4 linked regions of the Canis lupus familiaris genome follow. The protein of the gene in region 3 purifies or fractionates together with the protein of the main gene of each other region. This does not show direct contact. Links are inferred from orthologs where the notes say so. Each region holds a gene or a part of one and is shown on either strand. Other genes may lie near its edges.

Region 1 (4,737 bases), on a different chromosome or scaffold from region 3:
CCCCAGAACCCCCCACTGCCTCTGAGACCCAGGGGGCCCAGCCATCTGGCCTCTCTCACCTCAGCCTCCAGCAATTCTGGAACAGGCTCCTCCTTGGTCAGCATTGGGGGTTCATCCGTGCTGCCTGCAGTGATGCCCCCAGGATCTGGAACATCAAGTTAACAGAATTCCCTGAGTGGCTCCTCCGTGCCACAACACAGACCCTGGTTGGGGACACCAAGGAGTGAGCTGGGAACCTTGCTATTGGCCAGAGGAAGACACAGCAAGGACATTTAAGTGGGATCTTGATGGGTGAGTAGGATCTGATCGGGTAGACAAATGTGGAGATGGAGCACATTTTAGGCAGACAGACTATATGTTTGTGAGGACAGATTCTGAGGTTGGATTCCTCCGGTTCAAATCCTGACCTTGGGCAAGTGACTTAATTCCTCTGGACTTAGTTTCCCCACCTGCAAAGTGGGGATAATGATAGTAATTACCACATGAGACTGTTGTGAGGATGCAATGAGATAATACAGGTAAAGCCCTCAGTACAGTGTCTAGCACATAGAAAGCGCTCAATAAATGCCTGTTGTTTTTGTATTAGTAAAGGTACCCAAGTGCACGGTACAATCTAGACACAGCCCATAGGCCCATAGGCCCAAGTCATGGTATTCCTGGAAAGGAACAATGAGACCAACAGGGATAGTTCACGAAGGGCCGTGAGTGCCAAGTGGAGGAGTCAAAGGCCATAGGAGCCATTGAAGGCTTTGAAGCAGGAAAATGAGCCTGCCATATCTATGCTTTAGAAAAAGTTGCTCTGGCAGCTGTGTAGAGGTGACTAGGGAAGAGGAGACCCACAAGGAGGCTGGAGCCAGGCACAGGTAAGAGATGGCTCTTATAGGAAGGGAGACACATTTGCAAGGTGGTTCCGACCAGACAGGGGATTGACTATATGGAAGAAAGAGGAGCTAAGGCAAAATTATGCCCAAGATGCTGGCTCATTGGCCATGTGAGCTTAGGAGACTTCTCTGGGTTTCAGCTTCTCATCCACATGTGGGGATTATAACTTTCATAGGGTTATAGTGAGGATTAAATGAAATCAAACATGTTCAGTGCTTAGAATGGTATCTGGCACACAGAGCTCAATAAGTCTTAGCTATCATTATCACTTATTAATCACCCTCAGGAATATCACTATTATTCATTCCTTAACAAATATTTATTGAGTACATTCTATGTGTCCCACATTGTTCTGAGGATCTAGTAATGGACAGGAGCAACATGGGCCCAAAGTTCAGGAAGCCAACATGAGGTGGGAGTGGGGGAAGAAATTTGAGTAGTAAAAAATAAAATTTACATGAAAATCTCAGACAGTGATTAATTACATAAAGACCCAAAGGGAAAAAAAAAAAAGACCCAAAGAAGCCGGATGAATGAGACAGTTAGCTACTGGAGGTAGGATGGTGACTTTCTGCAGGAGTCAGGGAAGGCCTCTGGAAGGGGATAACAAGGAGGGGAGCAGGTGTAGGTAGGGGTAAGCTGATGGCTCCAACTCAGCCACCAGCCAACTCAGAAGAGAGGGCTGCAGGGAGGCACCTGGTCCTACCTCTCTCTTGGCCCAGCCGTGGGGGCTGAGCATCCTCTGGGACCCCTTCTGGTGGTCCAGCAGGTGACACAGGGCGGCTGGGCTGGGGGGTACCCCCAGGGCTGGGCTCGGTGCCCTTTTGCAGGGAGCCTTCCGAATGGAAACTCTGGTTACTGTTTTCATCTGTGGGAGCAAAAGCCGAGAGCATTGGGCCTGAGAGCCCCAATCTGCTCCCTCAATTCCCCATCCCACAACACCCCCCCAAATCCCAGGATCCCTACATACCATTGAGATCCAGCAGGATGAGGGGACCACCCCCTCGGGGACTGGTGCCCCTGCCCCGCCGCTCCCGGCCTCGGGATCTCTCTGTCCCGCCACCTGCCCTCCGTCGTTCCTGGGGGTTAGAGGGATAAGGGTCAGCTCCGGCTTTCCAGTTAGTGCTTGCAAAGCCCCCACTGTCCAAATAAGGAGACTGAGGCACAGAGCAGCAAAAGGCCCTACAGGAGGCTGGCACAGTGGATTAGGGCTTGAACTCAGGGGTCTGAAGCAGGAAAAAGGGAGAAGGGGGTGGAGTTGCTAATAATTGTTAACATCTGTCTTGGCTGCTGCATTTGAGGTCTCAGAGCAGGACTGGAGGTGGAGGCTGGGATTGGAAGGGGCTTGCCTGAGGGTGCACAGTGGGGGAGTTTGCTCACCTCCTCCTGGGGGTCCACCACTGGCACCCACTTGAAGATACGAAGGGAAGTGTCGCCCACAGTCACCCAGCGCTTCTCCCTGTGGGAGGGGGGGACTGGGTCAGAATTCTGAGGAGAGAGCCCCCCCCAGGAGCTGAACACATCTGGGGAGACCTGTAGACTTGGGGGTGCTGCGGTTTCGCTAATGGGGCATATGGTTAGAAGGAGAAAGAGAGTCCTGCAGACCCCAGGCCATAAACAGGGGTGCCTCTAAGGAGAGAGCACGGTTTGGGGCCATGGCTCTGCAGACCCCTGGGGTATACAAGGGAGCAAGGCTGAGGGCCTGGCTGGGGACCATAGCAATGAAGATCCTGGACATACTTGAGGGAGGAGTGTCAAAGCTTAAGGGGGCGGGGCATAAATGAGGGTACGGCTTGGGAACACGCTTTGTAGACCCTAGGGTGTAGCCAGAAGGGGGACAGAGCCCTGTAGCTCCGGGGGGCACACCTAACACCCTGCGGCCACGGCCGGCGAAGGGGAGGTTAGACGCATTTGGGGGAGGAGTGGTCCCGCCGGGTCCCATCCCTGGCCCCCGGGCAGCGCTCACCATCTCCGGACCTTCTCGATGGTCGCCATCACCTTCTTGATGTCATCTTTGGCCCGGCTCCGGGTCTCGGCCCGCACGGTCCGGCCGGCCATGCTGGCGGGACTGGGGCCGAGGCCGAGCCCGCGGCTGGGCCGCCTCCCGTCCGGCGGGCTCAGGCTCGGGCCAGACCCGGGCGCCGCTCTCTCGGCCTGCCGTCCCTCCGGGAGTTGGCCGCGCCCTCCCTCGCTCCCCAACGCCTCCGCGAGTCCCCGCCCCGTTTCCTGCTGCCGCGCCCCGCCCCGGCCCGTCCCCGGAGCGGCCCGGCGGTGCGGGCGGCCAAAGCCCAGGCCTGGAAGCCGGCCGGCCCCGCCCCGACCGGGCCCGCCCCCTCGGGGCGCCCCGACGCGCAGCGCCCCCTACCCGCCGCCAAGAGGGAGGGTTGGGGACAGCTTGGCGCCAGGGCGCGCGCCGCCGGGCCGGGGAGGTGCGTTCAGACCACGTGGGCGCGGGGAGGAGGAGGGGGCGCGAGAGGGTCACTCTCACGGCGAGCGTCTGTGGCGCGGGGGTGGCCCTCGTGCTGCGTGCAGAGCGTGTGTCCAGCCTCCCCTGGCTGTCGCTCCCGCCCTGTCCAGCTCTTCCTCAGCCATTCATTCAGCAGTCTATTCAGAGTGCCCATTTCTGGCCAGATGCTGCAAATATGAGTAGGTCTCCACCCACCAGAATGGCTAAAATGAGAACGACAGACCATATCAAGTGTAGACAAAGGAGTAGAGCAACCAGACCTCTCATGTTCCTGGGGTAGTGAAAATGGATAGAGATGCTTTGGAAAACGGGCAGGTTTTTTTTTTTAATTATTTATTTATTCATTCACAGAGACACAGAGAGAAAGAGAGAGGGGCAGAGAGACAAGCAGGCACCATGCAGAGAGCCTGACGTGGGACTCGATCTAGGGTCTTCAGGATCACGCCCTAGACTGCAGGCGGCGCTAAACAGCTGCACCACCGGGGCCACCCAAACTGGCAGTTTTCTAGAGAAGCTGAGAGAAATGCGTAGGTGTGAGCACCAAGTGATGTGTACTGGAATCTTCATAGCACCGTAGAGCACGGCCTCAAATTGGAAACAGCCCATCAGGAGTAGAGTGGAAAATGAATTGTAGCCTGTTCACACAGTGGACACAGCAGAGAGTGATATCCTGCTACACAGACAACAGGGACAAGTCTCATGAAAGAAATCAGATACAACAGTACGCATTATATGATTCCTTTTATATGAAATTCAAAACAAAACTAATTTGTGGTGTGAGAACTCAGGATAGTGGTCACTCTTGGGAGAGGCCAAAAGGGAGCTCTTGGACTGGTCACATTCAGTTTCTTAATCTGAATCTGGTGCTGATCCCCCCACCACCACCAGTACATTTACTCTGAATATTCACCGAACTGTACACTTTTCCCTATGTATATTATATGCTTCAATTAAAAGTTTACTTAAAATGCGTGTGTTTTGGTTGATTTTATTTGAATCTGTTTGCCAGTGTGTGTTGCTCTATGTGTGTGTTTCAAGGGTGTGTGGCTCTTGTCTCTGTGTGTTTTGGTGTGATTATGTCCAGAGGGATTAAGGTATAGGAGGGTGATTATGACCAAATTTCTAGAGCCTAACTGCTCCTGGGAAAATCCCAGCTCTTCATGTCCAGTGACCTTGGACAACTCATTTATCTTTATTCCCTCAACTGTAACATGAGAGTAAGTTAATATCTAATGCAATTCCTGGAGCCATGCCACGCACATAGTAAATGCCCAATAAATATTCACTGTTAATGACTGTGTGATTGTGGCCTCTACCAACAGTCTGGCTTCAGTTGCACCCACTTCCTCTAGTTAATATCTTCTTTTATTCTGGCAATTGTCTGCTCA
Region 2 (4,966 bases), on a different chromosome or scaffold from region 3:
CCCTAGGCTTGCCAGGGCCCCAGGCTTCTCCCAAGAGAGAAAAGGGGCCCGGGGGTGGGGGGGTACTTACAGCTCATGAAGTCGTAGCTTGGTCTTGCCAAGCTCCACACCTGCTCTTTGGAGCACCAGTTAACTCCTCTTCAAGATTAAAAAAAGGAAAAAACAAAACACCCCAAAACAAATCCCAGTCAGGCCACTCAAGGCTCTGTAAGTCCCTGCCTGCAGTAAAGCTCAAGCTAGGAAGTGTGTGACAATGTCCTCTCCCTTGCCCGGCAGCAGCCCATGTCCTAAGTGTGACTCTACCTCCACTGCCCAGGACAGCAGGGCACGTGGCTGGGCCTAATGCTGCACCTCCAGAGAGCACGCAGCACCCTGCCTCAAAGCCTGTGGCCCTGGCGCCCCTGGTGGCCCAGGCCTAAGAGAAGGGAACATACCCCTCCATAAGCAGAAAATATTTTGAACTCTGGAGTGAACCCAACAATCTGGGTTTCTTTGGGTTTTGTTTTGTCTTTCTTTTTTTTTTTTTTTTTTTTTTTAAGATTTTATTTATTTATTCATGAGAGGCAGAGACACAGGCAGAGGGAGAAGCAGGCTCCTTGCCGGGAGCCCGACATGGGACTCGATCTTGGGTCCCCAGGATCAGGCACTGGGCTGAAGGCGGCACTAAACCACTGAGCCACCCAAACTGCCCCATTTCTTGTTTTCCTTAAGCTCTTCTGTCGAGTATGATCCACAGCTAGATCCACTGTGTGGAGGGAGGTGGGTCATCACTTCCCCTCTTTCCATAGGTTCCCTAACTTACCCCACTTGGCCTGGAAAGCCTTGCTCTTCTAGCTCACTTCATGTACCCTAACAGACAGGACCCCCTTTGCTCCTCTGAAGTCCCATCTCCTGGAAGTCACACAACTGGACTTAGAAAGAGGCCAAGCAGAATCTTACTCGAACTTAGCCAGGGTGAACTGGGTCTTCCCTCTCCCCTTGGATCCTCTACTGTCCCTTCCTGGAGGAGGAGGAAGAGGTTATGAAAAGCTGGTGGGACAGGAAGCTTGCAGAAGCAGAAGCTCAGTGCCTACCCTTTGGTCCCCAACCCTAGCAGCCTGGGGCTCCCCAGCCAGTCAGCTGGACCTTGCCACTGGCCCAAGGCCACTCCCTACATAGGGCTGTGGAACCCATTATCCAAGGGCTTTCCCCAGGCCACACTGCTCACAGCTTTTGAACAAAGGCAACTGGAGAGGCTCCTATCTCTTCTTAGACCAAAGGCCCAGAGAGACTCCAAGGCCTGTGCTCAGCTAGCCGGCCCAGGGGCTGTAATGACTCATGTCGAGACCCCTCAGCATCAGCTTGGACCCATGAATCCCCAAGTGGGAAAGCAAGATGGGAAAGATGGGAGTCACTGGCATTATCTCTGTCAGTACCCAGATATTTTGTTTTCTTTACAGAGAGGAGGGGGGATGAAGAGTAAGTGGGAAAAATCAGGGTCCCCAGTTAGGCGTCTCTTTAGAAAGTAAGGGCCCAGGGCTCTGAGGGGGGCGGCGAGGGAGATAAGCATATCCTATCCTATGAGGATCCATTTGTGGAGCCTCTACCTGGAGACCAGAGAGTCAACCCCAGCTTCCTTGGGAGATTAGCAAAGAAGCCAGTGCCAAACGCTGGGGCACACGGGTTGGTTGGGATATGACATTGCTAGAACCTAAAGGCTAAATAAGAGTGCAGAGAGAGTGCAAAAAAGGATGGGCACAATTCCCAAGCATTCTGGGGCAACCAGAAACAATGGACTGGAGAGGGGGGTACTGATGAGCCCCACCAGCAGGGTCAGGCCCTAAGGATGGAGTCTCTACCTCTCCTCGGCCTTTGAAGCTGCAACCTGAGACGCGCTCTCTTGGAAGCCAAACTCCAAAGGGGTCAGGACAGAACTCTTTGAAGCAACTCTCACAGACAGGCTCCTCCAGCCCCAGACCAGCAGGGCTCAGTGGAGCCTCTCTGCTCCTGCACACTAACCAACTCCTGGACACTAGGACACCAGGCAGAAAGCCAAAAGGAGAGTCGGCCCAGAACGGGCTGGGCTTTCCGCCTGCCTCAGGCCTGGCCACCACCAGCTCTGGTCGAACCCGGAGCCACCCCACGGGAGGGCTCCTGGGCCTGACCTGGAGCAGACCCTGCCCGGCACAGGCTGGGGTCCCCTTGCTCCGTTCTCCACCTCCCGGGCCGCGGGGAGCCAGGCCCTTCTTCCTCCCCATCAGCAGCTGGGAGCCATCTCAGACACGCTAGAACTCTGCCAGTTCCCAACTAGAAGAAAAAAAAAAAAAAAAAAAAGCCCAGCGCAGACTTGGAGTGGGACCAAGGCCAAGGCAGGGTAACCCTGGTTTCTCCGTGAGGGCCCTTTTGCAAAACTTTCCCAGCACTTCCCCGAGCCCCCTTCCCTAGGACCTACACTAGACTTCTCGGTCCGCTCGCCCACAGCTCCCGGGCTCCGGTTCCTCCACCTCTCACTCAGAATCCCCGTTCCAAGAAAACCTCCAGACCCTCCCAACCGCCCCCAACCCTCCAGCCCAGGCTCGCTCTGACCCTCTCCCCGAGCTGCCCCGCCGCCCGGCCTTGCCCTGCACCCCGTCCCGCGCACTCCGCACGCCGGGCCCCCGTGCCCCGCCCGGGGGCTGCCCCGCGGCCCCGACTCCAGCCCCCATCGCCCCATCGCCCCGGGCGACCTCGCGGCGCCACCCGCCCGCCCGGCCGCGCTGCTCACCTGGTACTGCGCCGCGGGGCCCGCGGGGCCCATGGGGCGGAAGGCGGCGGCCCCGGGGCCCCCCACGCCGCCAGCCGGCCCTGGCCCCCTGAGCGCCGGTCCCGGCAGCATGCCGGGTCCCGCGGGCGGAGGCGGCGCTCCCAGGGCCGCGGCAACGGCGCCGCCACCAGGACTCAGCGGAGGCAGCGGGAACCCGCCCGCGCCACGGCCCGACATCGCTCCGTCCCGTCCGGCGGTGTCGCGATCCGGGCTCCGGGCTCCGTGTCGAGTCCGCTCCGCGATCCGTGCTCCGGGACTTCCCGATCTAAATTCCGGGTTCTGGGGCTTGTTGATCCGGGTTCCGGGATTTCCCAATCCAAGTTCTCAAGTTCCTCCTCGCAGACCCGGTTTGGGGCAGGGCCGATCCTGATTCCGGTCCTGCCCGGGCAATTCCGGATCCGGGATCTGCTGCACGCCCGCCTGACGCTCGCGGCCTCCGGAGGTTTGGCCGCCGGAGTCCAGTTACCCGGAGGCGGCAACTAACTCCCAGCCCCGCCCAAACAAGCCCGGCGCTAGGCCCCGCCTAGAACCTGCAGTCCAATGCCACGGTGCCGCTCAAATCCCGCCCCTCGCGAGACCCGCCCCCAGCAAGCACCGCCCCTAACCGCCAGCCGCCCCCCCCAGCCACGCCCCCACGCCTCAGGCCCGCCCTTGACCGGAGGGGCGGAGGCGGAAAGCTGCGCAGGAAGCGCTGTGCAAGGCGCGGGGTCAGAGGTTGAAGGTCACCTAAGGGCTTCAACAGAGAATGCGTGGGGAGTTGCTGATCTCTGCCCCGTGGAGCCCGCCCCCCGAGGTTCCCAGTTACACTCCCTGAAAATAGTTGACTTAAGTCGCTTTTCTATGTTTTAGGCAGTAAAAATTCAGCTTAGAGCTGTTTCCTGAGGCAGAAGAGCCACCAGCTTCACTTTGTTTAATAGCCCATCCTGCTGGCTCAGAGCTGCCAAGGGACGTCAGCTGCCCCAGACCCAGTCCAGCTGTGTGACGGGCTGACTTGGCCCTGCGCCGAGCTCTTATCGCATATTTTTAACGTGGCTCTGCCTCACTTTAAGGAAGCCTAGTACTTTACTCCACAGGAAATGTTTCTAGGGGGAGGAATTTTGCCTTGTGAGAAAACTCCCTGCAGTTAAATAAGGTCTTTCTCCAGGATTTATAGTACTTAATTGGAAAAAAAATTCAATACCTTTTCAGAAACCACTATCCTGTGTCATAAGGTATTCAAAATAAAGCCCTTCAGCTGTGTTAGCCTACATGCTGGTCATCTGGGGTTTCCTCCCCCTGATACAGGCCAGTGCTTCTTAAACTTTAATAAGCACAAGAAACATCTGGGGCTTTTGGGCAGCCCGGGTGGCTCAGTGGTTTAGCGCTGCCTTCAGCCCAGGGCATGATCCTGGAGTTCTGGGATCGAGTCCCATTCGGGCTCCCTGCATGGAGCCTGCTTCTCCCTCTGCCTGTGTCTCTGTCTCTTTCTCTCTCTCATGAATAAATAAAATCTTAAAAAAAAAAAAAAAAAAAAGAAAGAAACATCTGGGGCTTTGGTTTAAAATGCAGATTATGATTCAGTATGCCTGGGGTTTGGGGTAAGGCTCAAGCTTCTGCATTTCTTTTATTTATTTATTTAAATTAAAGTTAGTTAACATATAGTGTATTATTAGGTTCAAGGTAGAGTTTAGTGATTCATCAATTGCACATAACATCCAGTGCTCATTACATCAAGTGCCCTCCTTAATGCCCATCACCCAGTCACCCCGTCCAAGCACCTCCCCTCCAGCAACTCTGTTCTCTAGAGCCAAGAATCTCTTATGGTTTGCCTATTTTCATCTTATTTTTCCTTCTCTCCTCCTGTGTTCATCTGTTTTGTTCCTTAAATTCCACATGAATGAAATACGATTTTTGTCTTTCTCTTACTTCGCTCAGCATAATACACTCTAGTTCCATCCACATCATTGCAAATGGCAAGAGTTCATTCTTGATGGTTGAGTAATATTCTATTTGAGATACACAGATATACAGATAAAATCTTCTTTATCCATTCATCCCTCGATGGACATCTGGCTCTTTCCATATTTTGGTAATTGTGGACTCTGTTGCTATAAACATTGGGGTGCATGTGCCCCTTCAAATCACATTTTTGTGTGTACTTTGGATAAATATCTAGTAGTGCAACTGCTTCTGCATTTCTAACAA
Region 3 (3,485 bases):
GACAGACTGGGTTTTTGCGATCCCCAACGTACCTAACTAACGTCGCATAGAATTTCTCCTGACGACTAAATGGAGGCGTGGCCAAGATCAGGTCCACATTGTTGTCCTGGATACTGAGTTTACAGAGGGTCTCCAGGACGAGTCTCTGTGGCGACAGGACAGAGTTGGGTCCCACCGTTGGAAAGGGGTCTTGTGCCTCTGCAGACGGGCACACCATCCAGTGCAGCAAGCCATCCAAAATCGGCAAGCAGATGCTCTCTGTGTAAGCAGACAAGTCTAGCTGCCCAGAAATGTTGGCCAATGTGACTAACGTGTTGTCCCTTAAGACCTCCAGGCAGTCCCACCACCACTCATCCTTGCTGCAGGCCACCCCTTTGTCCTCGTCTTCCTCTTTCTCATAGGTCTGCGGCGCTCGCTTCCTCTCCGGATGCTCGTGGTGAAGAAGAATCAGCTTCCCCAGGATCAGCACCAAGCCTGGATGTTTGGACATCTCGGCGTCGTTGCCAGGCACAAAAGACAAGCTACGGACAATATTGGACACACAGATACAGCGCTTGGCCAGGGAATCCTGCCAGTGCGCGATGGTGCAGAGAGGAGTCTCGTCTCGGCTCCTTGGCTCGTCCTCCAGCAGCTTGATGTTCCGGTGACTTTTGGCTTGATGTATCCCAAAGGGGAACTTACCGCTCTCCGTCTGGGTGCCGGGGTTCGCGTCTTCAGGCAGCGCCCCCGGCCGAGCAGACAGGACATCGTCGATGGTTGCGATGATGCTTTTCTCTTGCTGCTCCTCAGCCTCCCCTCTTCCTTCTTGCTCTCTCTTCCTACCTGCGGAGCTTAGAGCAGGAGGCGGACGCCTACGAGGAGGGATTTCCATCTTGCTCTCAAAGTGAGTCTGGATGTGCTCGGTGGTGTCGCCGCCACCGAGCTGCCAGTGGAGAAGCCCACTGTTGAACTCCTGGACGCGACCCAGCTTGTCCGACCGGTCGACGACAAACAGGTTGTTCTTTTTGACTATCTTTATGGGCAGCTTGTCGAACTTACTGGCCTGCCGGGGCTTCTCCTTTGGATCTGCGGGGGCAGTGGGAGAGGCCAGAGTCACGCTGCTCCTCTCCGTCTCTGGCTTCCCGCTGTCCTCCTCGTCCTCGTCCTCATCCTCCTCGTCCTCTTCGTCCACGCACTCGGTGTCATCCTCCTCTTTCCCGGAATCGTCAGCCGACGACTGGCCATCGTCTCTCTTCACTGCATTGTGATCAAGTGCTTTCTGGCTGGGGTCTCCCACCTCGTATTCCATCAGAATTCCAAAGATGTCAATTAGGCATTTCCTAAAGTACTCTACTAAAAGTTCGAGAAATCCAGACAACTAGAAGGAAGGACAAGAACAAGAGCGGGTACAATGTCATCAGGTCAGGAAGGACTGAAAAGGGTCAATCCTGGTGGCTACCAACACATTTTTTTTAAGGGTAATTTTCACATGTTTTAATTCCTTGTTGGCTAGGCCAAAGAGAGACTACACACGAGTTAGAAAGGTCTCCCTGAATTTTATATTGTTAACGAAGCCAACGTTTACCATGCTTTCTATTTGCTGCTTACTTTCCCACTCCTTCAGTATGAAACCTTCACTGTTATTTTCTTATTTTTTAATATTGTCTTTTCTTCTCATTTAGGTACGAGGTGCTCTATACTAGAAGAGTGGGAACCTGGATTTTATAGACTCATTCACCCAAAGTGAGTCTGTTCTCTTCTGCTATTTTATCTGAGACTTGCTTGCCTGGATTTTTATGGTTATTATTGTTAGGATTTTACGGTTATTTTTGTCTCAGGTGCCATAGGTTACTCTAATTTACATCCTCCATATATCTTTGGGAGAAGATAATTTCAGCAATGTAGTAGCTCATAAACACAGAAAATTAAAAACAAATCAATTTAGTCCCTGATAAATGAATTAGAATGTCTCGTAGAATGCACTTTTACATTGCAGCTCTCACAACTGCAGCTGAAAGACAAAAGCAACTCTGAGAATCAGTTTTGTGTCCCGTAAGCAAATGTTTGGCTCGAGAAAACCGATAACCCTGTGATTAGCCACTGCCCAGCTCTCCTCCCTCAATGCCCACCCCACCACATCTGGGTGGGTAGAGGACAGGTAAGTACAGAAGGATTCTTCAATGATAGGTGTTTTGGAAATCACCCATACTGTCATATCCTGCTCTCAATTTCTTGAAAGCGGATTTAGAACTGTTATTAAGAAGTAAGGGGACACTTAAGTACTGCCCACAAAGTACTCTGTTTTTAGGGGATGAAGGCACATCCCACAGTTTTTCAAGTGAAGATCTGGGGGTTTGGACCCTCCCACCCCTTAAAGTTGACTTTTTCCCTGGGGGTAAGGGGTAAGTCACTAAAGCAATTCTGGTTATTAAAATGTGTGATCAATAGTAGTTCACTCTGCTAACCTAAGGATGAAAGGTCATTACTTGAGCAAAGGAAGTATATACAGTTTTTAGTATTTTCTGTTACAATAGACTTCATGAGATGTTTATAACCTTATTAATACACTTCTGATCCAGTGAAAAACTGCCTTTCAGGGCTACTATGAGGACTTAAATATGAGAAGGAACATAAGGTGGAAGATTCTGGTCCAATGTCAACAGAAGCAAGGTAATTAGATGTTTGGGCTTTTTTCACCCGCAGACAATTGTTCATCCACAGTAGGGAGAATTACCTTTCTTCATTTTTGTTTCTAAGTATTTCTTTAAAAGTTTGTAGCTAAAAAAATAAAGTTCGTAGCTCAGTTGGCTCTTGGGCATTTTGCCTAACCCTCTGCTCCCTTCTCTTTTCTAGCAGTTACACTGGAAGCTACATTAGGCCTACCACTGGACAAGGGCGCGCTTTAATCTTATTAAAAGTAGTAGGCTTTCACACGACTGCTTCAAAATAAGGTGGAGAGGCAGAAATGGAGGAAATGGACCAAGAAACGCTCCTGGCGCTGAGTTCACAACTATCTCAGCCAAATAATGGGGCTATGGGGGTTCATTAAACTGTTCTCTCTACCTCTCCCTATAACCTACATTTTCTATAATATAACATTTCTTTTTAATTAAAAGAAAGAGGCCTGGTCTCCCTAGAAAGCAGGGTATGTCCCAGAGAAAGCTCCTGCATACCCAATACTGACTCCAGTCCCAGCTTGATGATATATTTGGATTCTCTCCCGCCTGCCTGCTGACAGTCATTCTAAGGAACTCACCTTTACTACAGTCTATTCCACACGCACATGCACACGCACATATGTGCGTGCACACAAGGGGATAGTTTCTTTGTGATAAAAACAAGTATGTGTGTGCTAATACTAGAGCGTGAAGTGACTTATTCCCAACTCAATTCTCTGGGACCGCCACGTCCGCTGGGGGCGCCAATCACCTCTCACATTTGCTGACACTGTGCACTACAGCCCTTTCTTAAGCCACTTGGGCCCATGGATGGGTTACTGGCTTACC
Region 4 (3,267 bases), on a different chromosome or scaffold from region 3:
CATTCTCCCGTGTTTTTTATAGAAACAAAGCTAGCTCTTAATGCCTCAAAATTGTAAGTGCAACTGTACGTATGTTTATGTGGATGCATATGGGGGCAAGAATCCACACTTTTATAAGCTCTTCAGAGATACAGGGCTCTCAAAATGTAAGGAGGTCCTTTCTAACCCAAAGGTCAATACCACAGGGACTGGCAGGCTTCTCTGTAAACAGCCAGCCAGAGTGTTAAATATTTTAGGCTTTGTGAGCCACATATAGTCTTGCTTCAATGTTCTTTTTTTAAATCTCCTTTAAAAATGTAAAAACCATTCTTAGCTTATGAGCTATACACACTAGCTGCAGGCTATAGTTTGCTGACGCCCTGACTTAAGAATCTCGTGGCTTCTAGAGGGCTCTCCCTCAGCTGCCTGCAGCTCTTCACTGGCCTCTGACAGTACTTCAATAGGAAAGCCCTTCTACAGTTCATGGAGAATTTTGTCTGTAAATTGATATTTTATGGTTTAAAAAAAAAAATAAAAGAACACACTACTTCTCCCCAAAGTAGATTTATAAACTGGGCATGACAGATGACAATAGCTGTGTGCTCCCCTGCAGCTGCCAAAGGACTCTCAGACTTTGTTCATGCCTCCTTCCCTAGGGGGTTGACAGCAGTTTGACCTATATTACAAGTCAGCTTAACCACACAGTGAGCCACTTTCTCTGGTCTGTAATGCTGGCCCACATCCTTTGTGCACAGTAAAAGCCACTGGGCATTCACATCCTCCTGAGTAAGCTCCTGAATTTCTATAAAGGAGGGGTTGGGGCACAGAGATCTGGCTGGAGGGGGACCTGCAGAGAGACCACCACTTTCTGGTGCCACCACTGGTGTGGCTAAAGAGCTTCCACAAACTTGGAGCATTATTAAGCAAATTGCTGGAAGGGCAGAGTGATCCATTCAGGCTCTAGGTTCAACACCTTTCCAGAGTGGGCAAGGGAAATAGGAAGAAATGGGACACTCAAACCTGTCATGTTCAAAGAGCTGCTACCAAAGCCTCATGTAACTACAAACTGAGTTTCCTGGACTGGTTGAAGGAAGTTAAACCGCTCCTTCTGGTAACTGTTTTCCACTCAACACCAGTCGTCTCAAGGGCTGTTGATTTTCTGCATTTCTAAATGCATCTGGTGATAATGTGCAAACGTTAGACCCTGGAAGTCAAAATACTAGGAAAGCATTCTGAGTGAAGGCAAAGCATCTATTCCCAATTTTGAAAGAACAGATTACTAGTAAGAGAACTCCTTTCCTGTTACTGATAAGATACTTGTTCTGATAAGAGATTAGGGCAACCTACCTTCAGGAGGCTCAGACATGGACGGGGTGAGACAGTACATATGGTAGCCACGGTCACAGTCATCACAGAAAAGCAGCTGGTCCTAGAAAAGGCCAGATGGAAGAGGAAGAGGCAGGTGAGTGACTGGTGGGCTTCAGGTGGCCCACCAGGGGTGGGCAGAGATGGGGGCTTCTGCAGACACTGCTGCTTTCAGGAGGGGTGGGGCAGATGGCAGGGAAGAGCAGATTCAGGAATTTCTGGATAGGAAATTCAGGCTGCCGTCCTTCTCCATCCAGACTGAGTCGCTGTCATTCCACCTGAACTGTACCAGCATCCGAACTCAGCTCATGGCCTCCACTCATCCTTTACATTCTATTTTTCAGAGAGTGAAGTTATCTTTTAAAAATGTTACGACATGGGCAGCCCTGGTGGCTTGGCGGTTTAGCATCGCCTTCAGCCTAGGGCATGACCCTGGAGACCTGGGATCGAGTCCCACCATCAGGCTCCCTGACTGGAGCCTGCTTCTCTCTCTACCTATGTCTCTGCCTCTAATAAATAAATAAAGTCTTAAAAAAAAATAATGTTAAGACAGGGCAGCCCGGGTGGCTCAGTGGTTTAGTGCCGCCTTTGGCCCAGGTGGCTAAGTGATCCTGGAGTCCTAGAATTGAGCCCCACATCAGGCTCCCTGCACGGAGCCTGCTTCTCCCTCTGCCTGTGTCTCTGCCTCTCTCTGTCTCTCTCATGAATAAAATCTTAAAAAAAAAAAAGTTAAGATAGCACATCACTCTCGATGAAACCCTCAGACCTGGTGATGGCCACCTTCCAATCCCTTCTCCTAGTGTGCTCCCGCTTCAAGGAAGCCCCAGCCAGCCAAACAGCCTTGGTAAACTTGGCCCGTCTGCCTTGAGGCCCCATCCTGGTTGCTTGTCTCCTGGGCATGCTGGGCATGCTGTGGCCGCAAATCTCCTTGGACTGGCTCCTCTGTTTCATCCAAATCTCAACACCAAGACCACCTCCTTGGAAAAGCCAGTCCTGACTATCTACATCAGGTACCAGATGACTGCCCCACTGCTGCTGTCCTTCTCTTCACAGCATGCCACAAAACCGTCGCTCCTTTCCTTGCCCACTGCTTGTTCCCCACAAGGAGGTAAATTCCGTGAAGGCAGGGACCTTGTTGGTCTTGTTTAGCACGATGAGCACCTGGAACGGTATCTGACGCCAAGATGGCACACAAGAGGCACTGGCCAAGCAAGTCCTCCCTGGGGTGTGGGGGACAGCACAGAGGGGAGAGAGGGGAGGGGGATGGCAAGGGGACACGCACATCGTTCTCGGAGGTGCCACAGATGTTGCAGCACTTGCACTCGATGCACTGCCAGCGGTAGGTCTTCACGGCCGCCATCATCACTGGGGTGAACTGCAAGCAAGAAGGGTGCCCTAGGGGCGGGAGGGAGAGGGGGTGTCACACAGGCAGCTGGGGCACGCAGAGGGCTCCCGGGCAGGCCCTGGGCCCCAGACTGGAGGTACCTGAGCGGCCGCAGTCGGAGCAGGACACCAGCTCCTCAGGCTGCCCCGTCTTCTTATTGATCTTGGAGTCCCCAAGGCAGAAGTCACAGTAGTTGTTGGGCAGGGCCAGTCCATCAGGACCCTTCTTGGCTACAGAGAGGAAGAAAGTTCTGACGAGGCTCACGGGGGCCTCTAGGCACCCAGTGGCCCTACAGGAAAGGCTTTTCAGGAGCAGATGATTCCTGCTTGACTTGTCAGCTTACATTTCTGCTCCTCTGACCTCTGGGAAACTGGGGTGGGTGGCTGCGAGTCTTCCTTGTCCTCACCCTCCTCCTCAGCCAAGTGGGAGTGGGCATAGTGGTAACTGAGGCCTGGCCGGTTCTTGTAACGTTTTCCACAAACTGAGTAGGGAGAAGATGACAGAGAAAGGTGTCAGGATCCAAGAGTGCCATGTCCCCG

Evidence for each region.
Region 1: the proteins of ARID1B (region 3) and BCL7C purify together in Homo sapiens (affinity purification with mass spectrometry; 4 studies listed by BioGRID and IntAct, counting the BioPlex papers as one, with this or other methods). This does not show direct contact. The link is inferred for Canis lupus familiaris from reciprocal best matches to the Homo sapiens genes ARID1B and BCL7C.
Region 2: the proteins of ARID1B (region 3) and SMARCD2 purify together in Homo sapiens (affinity purification with mass spectrometry; 5 studies listed by BioGRID and IntAct, with this or other methods). This does not show direct contact. The link is inferred for Canis lupus familiaris from reciprocal best matches to the Homo sapiens genes ARID1B and SMARCD2.
Region 4: the proteins of ARID1B (region 3) and DPF2 purify together in Homo sapiens (affinity purification with mass spectrometry; 7 studies listed by BioGRID and IntAct, counting the BioPlex papers as one, with this or other methods). This does not show direct contact. The link is inferred for Canis lupus familiaris from reciprocal best matches to the Homo sapiens genes ARID1B and DPF2.

The regions. Positions count from the first base shown.
Region 1 is NC_049227.1:17,466,367-17,471,103, reverse strand, and holds the start of BCL7C (B-cell CLL/lymphoma 7 protein family member C), read right to left. Parts: upstream 3,038-4,737; 5' UTR 2,941-3,037; coding exon 2,849-2,940; intron 2,342-2,848; coding exon 2,263-2,341; intron 1,962-2,262; coding exon 1,853-1,961; intron 1,751-1,852; coding exon 1,589-1,750; intron 292-1,588; exon of another isoform or gene 146-291; coding exon 60-145; exon of another isoform or gene 1-59. UniProt on the Homo sapiens protein: May play an anti-apoptotic role.
Region 2 is NC_049230.1:15,127,203-15,132,168, reverse strand, and holds the start of SMARCD2 (SWI/SNF-related matrix-associated actin-dependent regulator of chromatin subfamily D member 2), read right to left. Parts: upstream 2,960-4,966; coding exon 2,744-2,959; intron 287-2,743; exon of another isoform or gene 71-286; intron 1-70. UniProt on the Homo sapiens protein: Involved in transcriptional activation and repression of select genes by chromatin remodeling (alteration of DNA-nucleosome topology).
Region 3 is NC_049222.1:47,282,422-47,285,906, reverse strand, and holds part of ARID1B (AT-rich interactive domain-containing protein 1B), read right to left. Parts: coding exon 3,485-3,485; intron 1,358-3,484; coding exon 1-1,357. UniProt on the Homo sapiens protein: Involved in transcriptional activation and repression of select genes by chromatin remodeling (alteration of DNA-nucleosome topology).
Region 4 is NC_049239.1:52,339,304-52,342,570, forward strand, and holds part of DPF2 (zinc finger protein ubi-d4), read right to left. Parts: intron 3,210-3,267; coding exon 3,072-3,209; intron 2,959-3,071; coding exon 2,830-2,958; intron 2,740-2,829; coding exon 2,627-2,739; intron 1,409-2,626; coding exon 1,327-1,408; intron 1-1,326. UniProt on the Homo sapiens protein: Plays an active role in transcriptional regulation by binding modified histones H3 and H4. Is a negative regulator of myeloid differentiation of hematopoietic progenitor cells. Might also have a role in the development and maturation of lymphoid cells.